Linked DNA regions of Callithrix jacchus. The protein of the gene in region 1 purifies or fractionates together with the protein of each later gene. This does not show direct contact. Links are inferred from orthologs where the notes say so. Each region holds a gene or a part of one and is shown in the gene's direction. Other genes may lie near its edges.

Evidence for each region. The genes of interacting proteins can lie anywhere in the genome.
Region 2: the proteins of STX10 (region 1) and NAPA purify together in Homo sapiens (affinity purification with mass spectrometry; 3 studies listed by BioGRID and IntAct, with this or other methods). This does not show direct contact. The link is inferred for Callithrix jacchus from reciprocal best matches to the Homo sapiens genes STX10 and NAPA.

Annotation. Positions count from the first base shown.
Region 1 is NC_133523.1:11,969,699-11,973,444, reverse strand, and holds the start of STX10 (syntaxin-10), read left to right. Parts: upstream 1-1,488; 5' UTR 1,489-1,600; coding exon 1,601-1,635; intron 1,636-1,876; coding exon 1,877-2,046; intron 2,047-2,190; coding exon 2,191-2,285; intron 2,286-2,649; coding exon 2,650-2,712; intron 2,713-3,549; coding exon 3,550-3,657; intron 3,658-3,746. UniProt on the Homo sapiens protein: SNARE involved in vesicular transport from the late endosomes to the trans-Golgi network.
Region 2 is NC_133523.1:41,452,939-41,456,684, reverse strand, and holds the start of NAPA (alpha-soluble NSF attachment protein), read left to right. Parts: upstream 1-1,109; 5' UTR 1,110-1,260; coding exon 1,261-1,358; intron 1,359-3,643; exon of another isoform or gene 3,644-3,746. UniProt on the Homo sapiens protein: Required for vesicular transport between the endoplasmic reticulum and the Golgi apparatus. Together with GNA12 promotes CDH5 localization to plasma membrane.

The DNA of each region.
Region 1 (3,746 bases):
CGGGCTTCCGGGCGGGCTGGAGGGGCGGGGCTTTGCACTCCGGCCACGCCCCCCCCTCCCCGGCCCCGGCAGCGCGAGCAGGCTGGAGCCCCAGGCTTCCAGACCCGCAGCCAGCCGGGTGGGTGGGAAGGAGAGTTTCACTTCCTTCCCTCCTGGGGCCAGGAAAGCACCCCGCAGCGGGTAGGGGCGACCTCAGGGCTTCCACGTACGCCATCTCACAGACACGCTACAGAACCACCCTGCATACACAAGAGACGAGCCGCTGAGGCCCCCTCATCCCTTCTTTCCCCTTCCCAATTATTTCCCCCATACAAAGCCCCCTCCCAGGTTATCCCTGTCCCCCGCCCCACAGTGATCTGTCTTGGGACACCCTCCCGTCCTGCCCTCCCCCCGCAGGTGGGGACTCAAGAATTATTCCCCCCAAAAAGACCCTTTCTAAACTTGTCCCCATTCAACGAAGCTGCCACCTGAGGAAGACGCCCCCGTCCCCACCCCAACCTTACCACGGAGACCCCCACAGTGACTTCCCCAGCCCAGGCACCAGGCACTACCTCTGAGAGCCCACACAACAACTCTGACGCGCAAGGGGGCGACCCTCTGAGGACTCCCTCAGACAACCCGCCCACCCTCCAGGGGAGACCAGGCCCCCCACCACTCAAAACGTGCTTTCTCAAGACTCCCCTCACCACCCAATACACAGAGCGCCACTGTCACACATAGGGTGACACTATGAGTCCCTTCGCTGATACTCCTGGCCCCTACCCAGAGGGAGACCATCCTCAAAGCCACCATCACACCTCCTGGGACACCCAGGCTCAAACCCAGAAAGACTCCGCGCTTCTAATGAAACCCACCACCACGCGCGCCCTTGAGGATGACCTTCCCCCGCCTCTGGCATCTCTGAGACCCCCTCTCAAGACCACCTCGCCCCAAGGCGACCTCGAAGTTCCCTCAACTTCCCCACTTCTCAGGAAAGAGAGACTGGGAGAATGCAGCAGAACTCCCCGCACAAGCAAGTCCCCTCCTCACTCCGCCCCCGCAGGGAGAAGAGTACCACCTCTCCCTACACCATGCCCAAACCTGAAACTCGGGACCCTGGACTGGGACGATCTCCGAAGTGCCAGCTCAGGGAGTCCATGAAAAGATTCAACGAATGGAATGAACCCCTTCCCCAGCTATAATCCCCAACCGTCAGAAATAAGGGAGGCTATCATTATTTACATTGCCCGTGCCCGGAAGGGAAACTGAGGTTGCGCAGCAACAATCCGAGGTGTTGGGTCTCGAACCGAGATTCCGAAGTTGGACCCAAACAGGCCCAACCAGAACTCGGACACCGCCCCCTACGGGGCGGCACACAGGGGGCCAAGGGGCGGAGCATATGGACCGGAAGCTGCCTCTGCCCAAAACCAAGATGGCTGCAGAGAGGACGGAAGTGTCTGCACTTCGGGCCTCCGAGGCCTCTCCTTCTCCCCTGGCGGTCCCGCTCTCGATGGTGACGTGACGGGGGCGGGAGTGGCGGCGCGTTCTCCTCAGCTGCGAGGCAACCAGCCAGCGAACCCAGGCCTGGAGGGGGTTCGGCCTGAGGGGGAGGGAGACTGACATGTCTCTCGAAGACCCCTTTTTTGTAGTCCGAGGGTGAGTGACAGCGACGGGGGCGGGCGGAGGGTGCTCAGTCCCCAAGTCAGCCAGTGCCCGGGTGCTGGCCCCAGCATGCCAGGCGGGCTGGGCAGGGCCGTCGGGGTGCAGAGTGGGAGGCGCAGGCAGGGGGATACTGGGGTCTCCGGAGTCCCCCATGCGTTTGGGTTTGCAGTCGGGGGCAGAGGCGGGCGGGAGGACCGCCTGCCCCCAGCCGCGCCCGCCGTGCCCCTGCCCGCAGCGAGGTGCAGAAGGCGGTGAACACGGCCCGCGGGCTGTACCAGCGCTGGTGCGAGCTCCTGCAGGAGAGCGCGGCGGTCGGACGCGAGGAGCTGGACTGGACGACCAATGAGCTGCGGAATGGCCTGCGCAGCATCGAGTGGGACCTGGAGGACCTGGAAGAGACCATCGATATCCTGGGGCTTTGGGGCGGGGGTGGCATGGGAGAGCCCCCTGCGGTGGTAGGGGCCTGGGAGGTCGCCCTCGGGAAGGGCTGGACCCCTAGGGAGGGAGATGATGTCTGGCTCTGGCCTTGACCCTTGACTCTCAGCCCACGCATAGTGGAAGCCAACCCAGGCAAGTTCAAGCTCCCGGCCGGGGACCTGCAGGAGAGAAAGGTGTTCGTGGAGCGGATGCGAGAGGCCGTCCAGGTGCGCAGAGGTCCTGCAGGCGGGGTCTTTTCTCTCTTTTTTTTTGAGATTGAGTCTCACTCTGTCGCCCAGGCTGGAGTCCAGTGGTACAATCTCAACTCACTGCAACTTCCATCTCCCGGATTCAAGCGATTCTTGTGTCTCAGTCTCCTGCGTAGCTGAGACTACAGGAGCCCGCCACCATATCTGGCTATTTTTTTGTGTTTTTAGTTAGAGACGGGGTTTCACCGTGTTGGCAAGGCTGGTCTCGAACTCCTGACCTCAGGTGATCCACCCAACTTGGCCTCTCAAAGTGCCGGGATTACAGGCATGAGCCACGCCCAGCATGAGTGTCTTTCCTCCCTAATGCTGTCTTCACCTCCAGGAAATGAAGGACCATATGGTCAGCCCAACAGCCGTAGCCTTTCTGGAGAGGAATAGCAGAGAGGTAAGCCTTCCTGAGCACCTGGGGGTGACCACGCCGTTGAGTACGAGCCAGATCCTTCTGCGTGTGTTCACCTGTCCCTTCTGTGACAGTGCCCATCCTGTGTGCAGTTGTCTTCTTGCTGTCTACCTGCCTGCACTTCCTGGGTGTGTGCACCTGAACCTCTCTGTGTGTGTGTGTCCATGGGTTCCTCTCTACTGTCTCCTCTGGCTGTATCCTGGTTTCCTATTGCAAAGGAGGATTGGAGGCCTGTGTACCCCTCTCCTTTCTGCTTCCATACCATTTGTCCTGTATACAGCTGTTTCCAGGACGCATGCCTGCCTTTCTCTCTCTCTCTTTTTTTTTTTTGAGATGGAGTCTTGCTCTCTTGCCCAGGCTGGAGAGTACAGTGGCTCAATCTTGGCTCACTACAACCACCGCCTCCTGGGTTCAAGTGAGTCTCCTGCCTCAGCCTCCTGAGTAGCTGGGATTATAGGAGTGCACCACCACACCCTGCTAATTTTTGTATTTTTAGTAGAGACAGGGTTTCACGTTGGCCAGGCTGGTCTTGGACTCCTGACCTCAGGTGATCTGCCCACCTTCACCTGCCAAAGTTCTGGGATTACAAGCATGAGCCACCATACCTGACCTGCTTTCTGCATTTTACAGATGAATACACTGAGGCACAGAGAGGTCAAATAATGGGGTCCCTGGGTCACCTTGTTAGTAGGTGGTGAGTGAGGATTGCAGGCTGTCCCACGCCAGACTCTGCCTCCCTGACTCAGCACCGTAGGGCCTTGCCTCACACGCCCTACTGTAAGTTGGTGTCCCTCCCCAAGTCTGTGTTCTGTGTCCCTGCAGATGCTGGCGGGCAAACCAGCTGCCCAGAAGTCACCCAGCGACCTGCTGGATGCCAGCGCCATCTCGGCCACATCTCGCTACATGGAAGAACAGCAGGCCACACAGCAGGTTTCGGGGCAGGATGGGTAGATCCTGAGAGGGAGGAGCCTTGCAGACCCATCTGAGGTCTGAGGTCCCTTTCTTTCTTCTTCTTCCTT
Region 2 (3,746 bases), about 29 Mb from region 1:
TGTTTTGTGAGGCAGAGTCTCACTCTGTCTCCCAAGCTGGAGTGCAGTGGCACGATCTCGGTTCACTGCAACGTTTGCCTCCCGGGTTGAAACGACTCTCCTGCGTCAGCCTCCTGAGCACCACGCCCAGCTAATTTTTTGTATTTTTAGTAGAGATGGGGTTTCACCGTGATTAGCCAGGATAGTCTCGATTTCCTAACCTCGTGATCCACCCACCTTGGACTCCCAAAATGCTGGGATTATAGGCCTGAGCCCCCGCGCCTGGCCTATTTATTTATTTTTTGGGACGAAGTCTCACTCTGTCGTCCAGGTTAGAGCGCAGTGGCGCGATCTCGGCTCACTGCAACCTCTGCCTCCACAGTTCAAGTGATTCTCCTGCCTCAGCCTCCCGAGTAGCCAGGATTACAGGCGTGCACCACCATGCTGGGCTCCTATTTGTATTTTAGTAGAGACAGGGCTTTGACATGTTGGCCTGGCTGAAGTGATCCGCCCGCCTCGGCCTCCCAAAGTGCTGGGATTACAGGCGTGACCCACCGCGCCCGGCCCTCTTCAGCTACTTTTTCTGAAGCCAGAGAGTTAAAGGATCTCTAAAGTTTTTGTTTCCCGTCTCTGAACTACTTCACTGGTCTCCCCGAAGCAGTTCCAGTATTGGCCGGGAGAGGGAGCAAAAAAAAAAAGTAGTCCTGTTTCCTTTTCCTCCAAACGGCTTTCCCAGTGAAGAAACCCGCGAAACTAACCGAGGGGGCGGGACTAAGCTCTGCGCAGAGCCGTCAAATCCGGGCGTGGACCCCGAGCTGTCACGTGAGTGTCCGCGGTCAGCTGACTGCGCCGGACTTCCGCGGCGGGGGGCGCACAACGCGAGTCGAGGGCTTCTGCTGATTGGTGAAGGAGGATTCAGCTTCAGCACCGTGGGGCGGGGCCTCGGCGGTGCGAACTGCCATTGCCTTCCGCCGTTGCCTTCCGCAGGGGCACCGTTCGCGGGTGTGTGCGCATGCGTTGAGGTCTCGGGACGCCAATTGGGGGGTCTTGAGTCACTGGCGGCGTGCGGCAGGTTGGGGCGTGGTCGCCGGAGCGGGCGCCGCGCTACGAGGCCGCTGGTTGGCCAGCGCGAGTCACGTGGTTCCGGGCTGCAGCAGCGCGCACCGGTGCGACGTCAACGCAGCAGGTCGAGCTTTCCCGACCTGTTTTCCGCGGCCCGGCCGCGGCTGAGTCCTCCCAGGGTCGGGGTTGAGCGCCTTGTTGAGTCTCTTTGTAGTCGCCATGGACAATTCCGGGAAGGAAGCGGAGGCGATGGCGCTGTTGGCCGAGGCGGAGCGCAAAGTGAAGAACTCGCAGTCCTTCTTCTCCGGCCTCTTTGGGTGAGAACCGGGCTCAGGGGTCGGCCGGGACCTAGGGTGAGAGGACGAAGGAGTCACGGCCGGAGGCGGCGGGTTAGGCACGCAGGGCTCGGGCCGAGGGGACGGAGAGGAACCTGGAATGAGGTGATATGGTCTGAGGCGGCAGAGGGGACACAGACTGAGGGCCAAGGGCTCGGGCCGGGGCAACACGGTTTGAAGAGAGACGGTCTGACATGGCGGAAGGGACATGGGCTGAGGACACACGGGCCAAGGCGACACTGTCTTGAGGCGAGAAAGGGGACTCAGGCCAAAGACAGGCCAGGGGGCCGAGGGAGAACCTGGACCGAGGGAATACGTCCTGAAGCTTTGGAGGGGACTGGCCTGGGGGGGACGGAGGGAATCCGGGAGAGTAGGCAGGTCGGAGGCCTTTCGGAGCTCTAGGGGCATCTGTCTGAAGGCTCTCAGGCGGCGTGATGGGTCCTGGGACTGAGGACGCCCTGCCCGAGGGACTGACCTTTCCAGTCCCCCAGGGCAGTGGATTTGTGGGGGGTCCTGGGCAGTAAGGGTGATGGCTGAAGGAGGCTGACACCAGACGGAGGGTCTCGGGAATTTGGTGATCCTAGGAGTGGTGAAACACATCTGAAGTGTGTGTTGGGGGGTGCCTAGGTTGAGTCCGGCCCTGGTTAGCAGTGACTAAAGACAGCTGAACCAGGGAACCCGCATGATGGAGCCAAGAGTGAGGAGGTCCCAATACTTTGGGAAGCCGAGGTGGGCAAATCACTGAGGTCAGGAGTTGGAGACCAGCCTGACCAACGTAGTGAAAACCCTTCTCTGCTAAAAATACAAAAACTAGCTGGGCCTGGTGGCTGGTGCCTGTTATCCCAGCTACTCGGGAGGCTGATGCAGGAGAATCACTTGAACCCAGACGGCAGAGGTTGCAGTGAACCGACATCACACCGTTGCACTCCAGCCTGCGTGACAGTACGAGACTGACTCCATGTCAAAGAAAAACAAAAAGACTGAGGAGGCCTGGGTTGAGGCTAAAGACTCCTGGGTGGGGGAACACATGGTGGTGGCTTGGCCAAGGAGATGGAGGGGTAACAGGGCGAGACAGAGGGACAGAAAGAACCAAAACGGGGGATCAGAGGCCTGCTGTGTGATCCTCAAGTAATGGTGATGATGATGACAGGGACATGGTGAGAAGACGGATGGGAAGAGGCTTGGGAGACAGAACTAATGCATATGGCATGGCATAAAACTCGCATTCGCTCCTAAAAGCGACACAGCCATCCTCTGAGAAATTCTAGTGGCTTAGGAGTGTCAAGAGGCCAGGTTTGAAATGTGGCTCTGCCACTTCATGACCTTGGGTAAATTGTTCAGTCTCCCCATTAAAGGAGACCTCGAACCAAACCTACCTGCGATTTGCTGTATTAGGATTGAGCCTGGCATGGAGTTAACGTCTCTGAACATGTTAGCTGTTGTTAATGTGACTTTCCAGAAGGAACAGATTTGGAGCGTGCAGAGGGATGAGGGGTTCAAAGTTAGTGTGAGCGGAGAGGTCTGGGAGGGGTCAGAAGAGGGAGAGATGGAGAAGCATGAGTTTGCTAAGAGGAGCTGAAATAAAACACAAGAGGGACCCAGGAGGACTTAATAGGGTGGAGAGGCACATGAGACTCTGGGCAGAGGAAGTAGAAGGGAGCTGGGGAGGGTTTGGCAGGGGGTGGGAGGTGGGGAGTGAGATCTGCGCTGATGGGGGGTCCTGAAAGGATCAAGGGGAGGCTGTGGGAACAGAGAGGAGGCTTGGGAAAGGACTAGTGGGCTTGTAGAGAGGATGATGTGTGGTAGCCACTCAGAAGCAGAGCCTGGGGAAGGTGGTAGGACTGGGAGCGTCTGCAGAAGGCTGGAGAAGGGGGTTGGGGGGAGGGCCTGGGGATCGGAGGAGACCATGGTAGGAAGCTGGCAGAGGCTGGTAAGACACGAAGTGGAGGGATCTTTCCAAGAGAGGAAAGAACGGGAAAAGGCTCTGGGCCTCGCCCCTTGTTTGAGGTTGGATAATGTTTAGCAAAAGAACTTGAAGAACATGACCGGGAATTGCCTGGTGTGGGGAAACATCCGGGGCTGATGGACCATATTGATTAGGTGAAAAATGTTTTCTTTTAGAGGCTGAGAGGAGGGAGAGGGGGTATGTGTGTGTTTTCTTCATAAGGGGAGAAGTTCAAGTGCTGTGTTTGGGGGTGGGACCACGAGCTGGGTTTTTGGTGATGGTTTTCCTGGGTGGCTCTGAGTGTCTGTTCCCTTTGGCCCAGGGATTGGTGGGTACTGGACCGTGTGCTTGGAGGGAGCAGCTAAGTCAGCCCCAGGGCACTTGCTACCTGGTTGGGAAGGCAAGATGAACACCAAACACTAGTA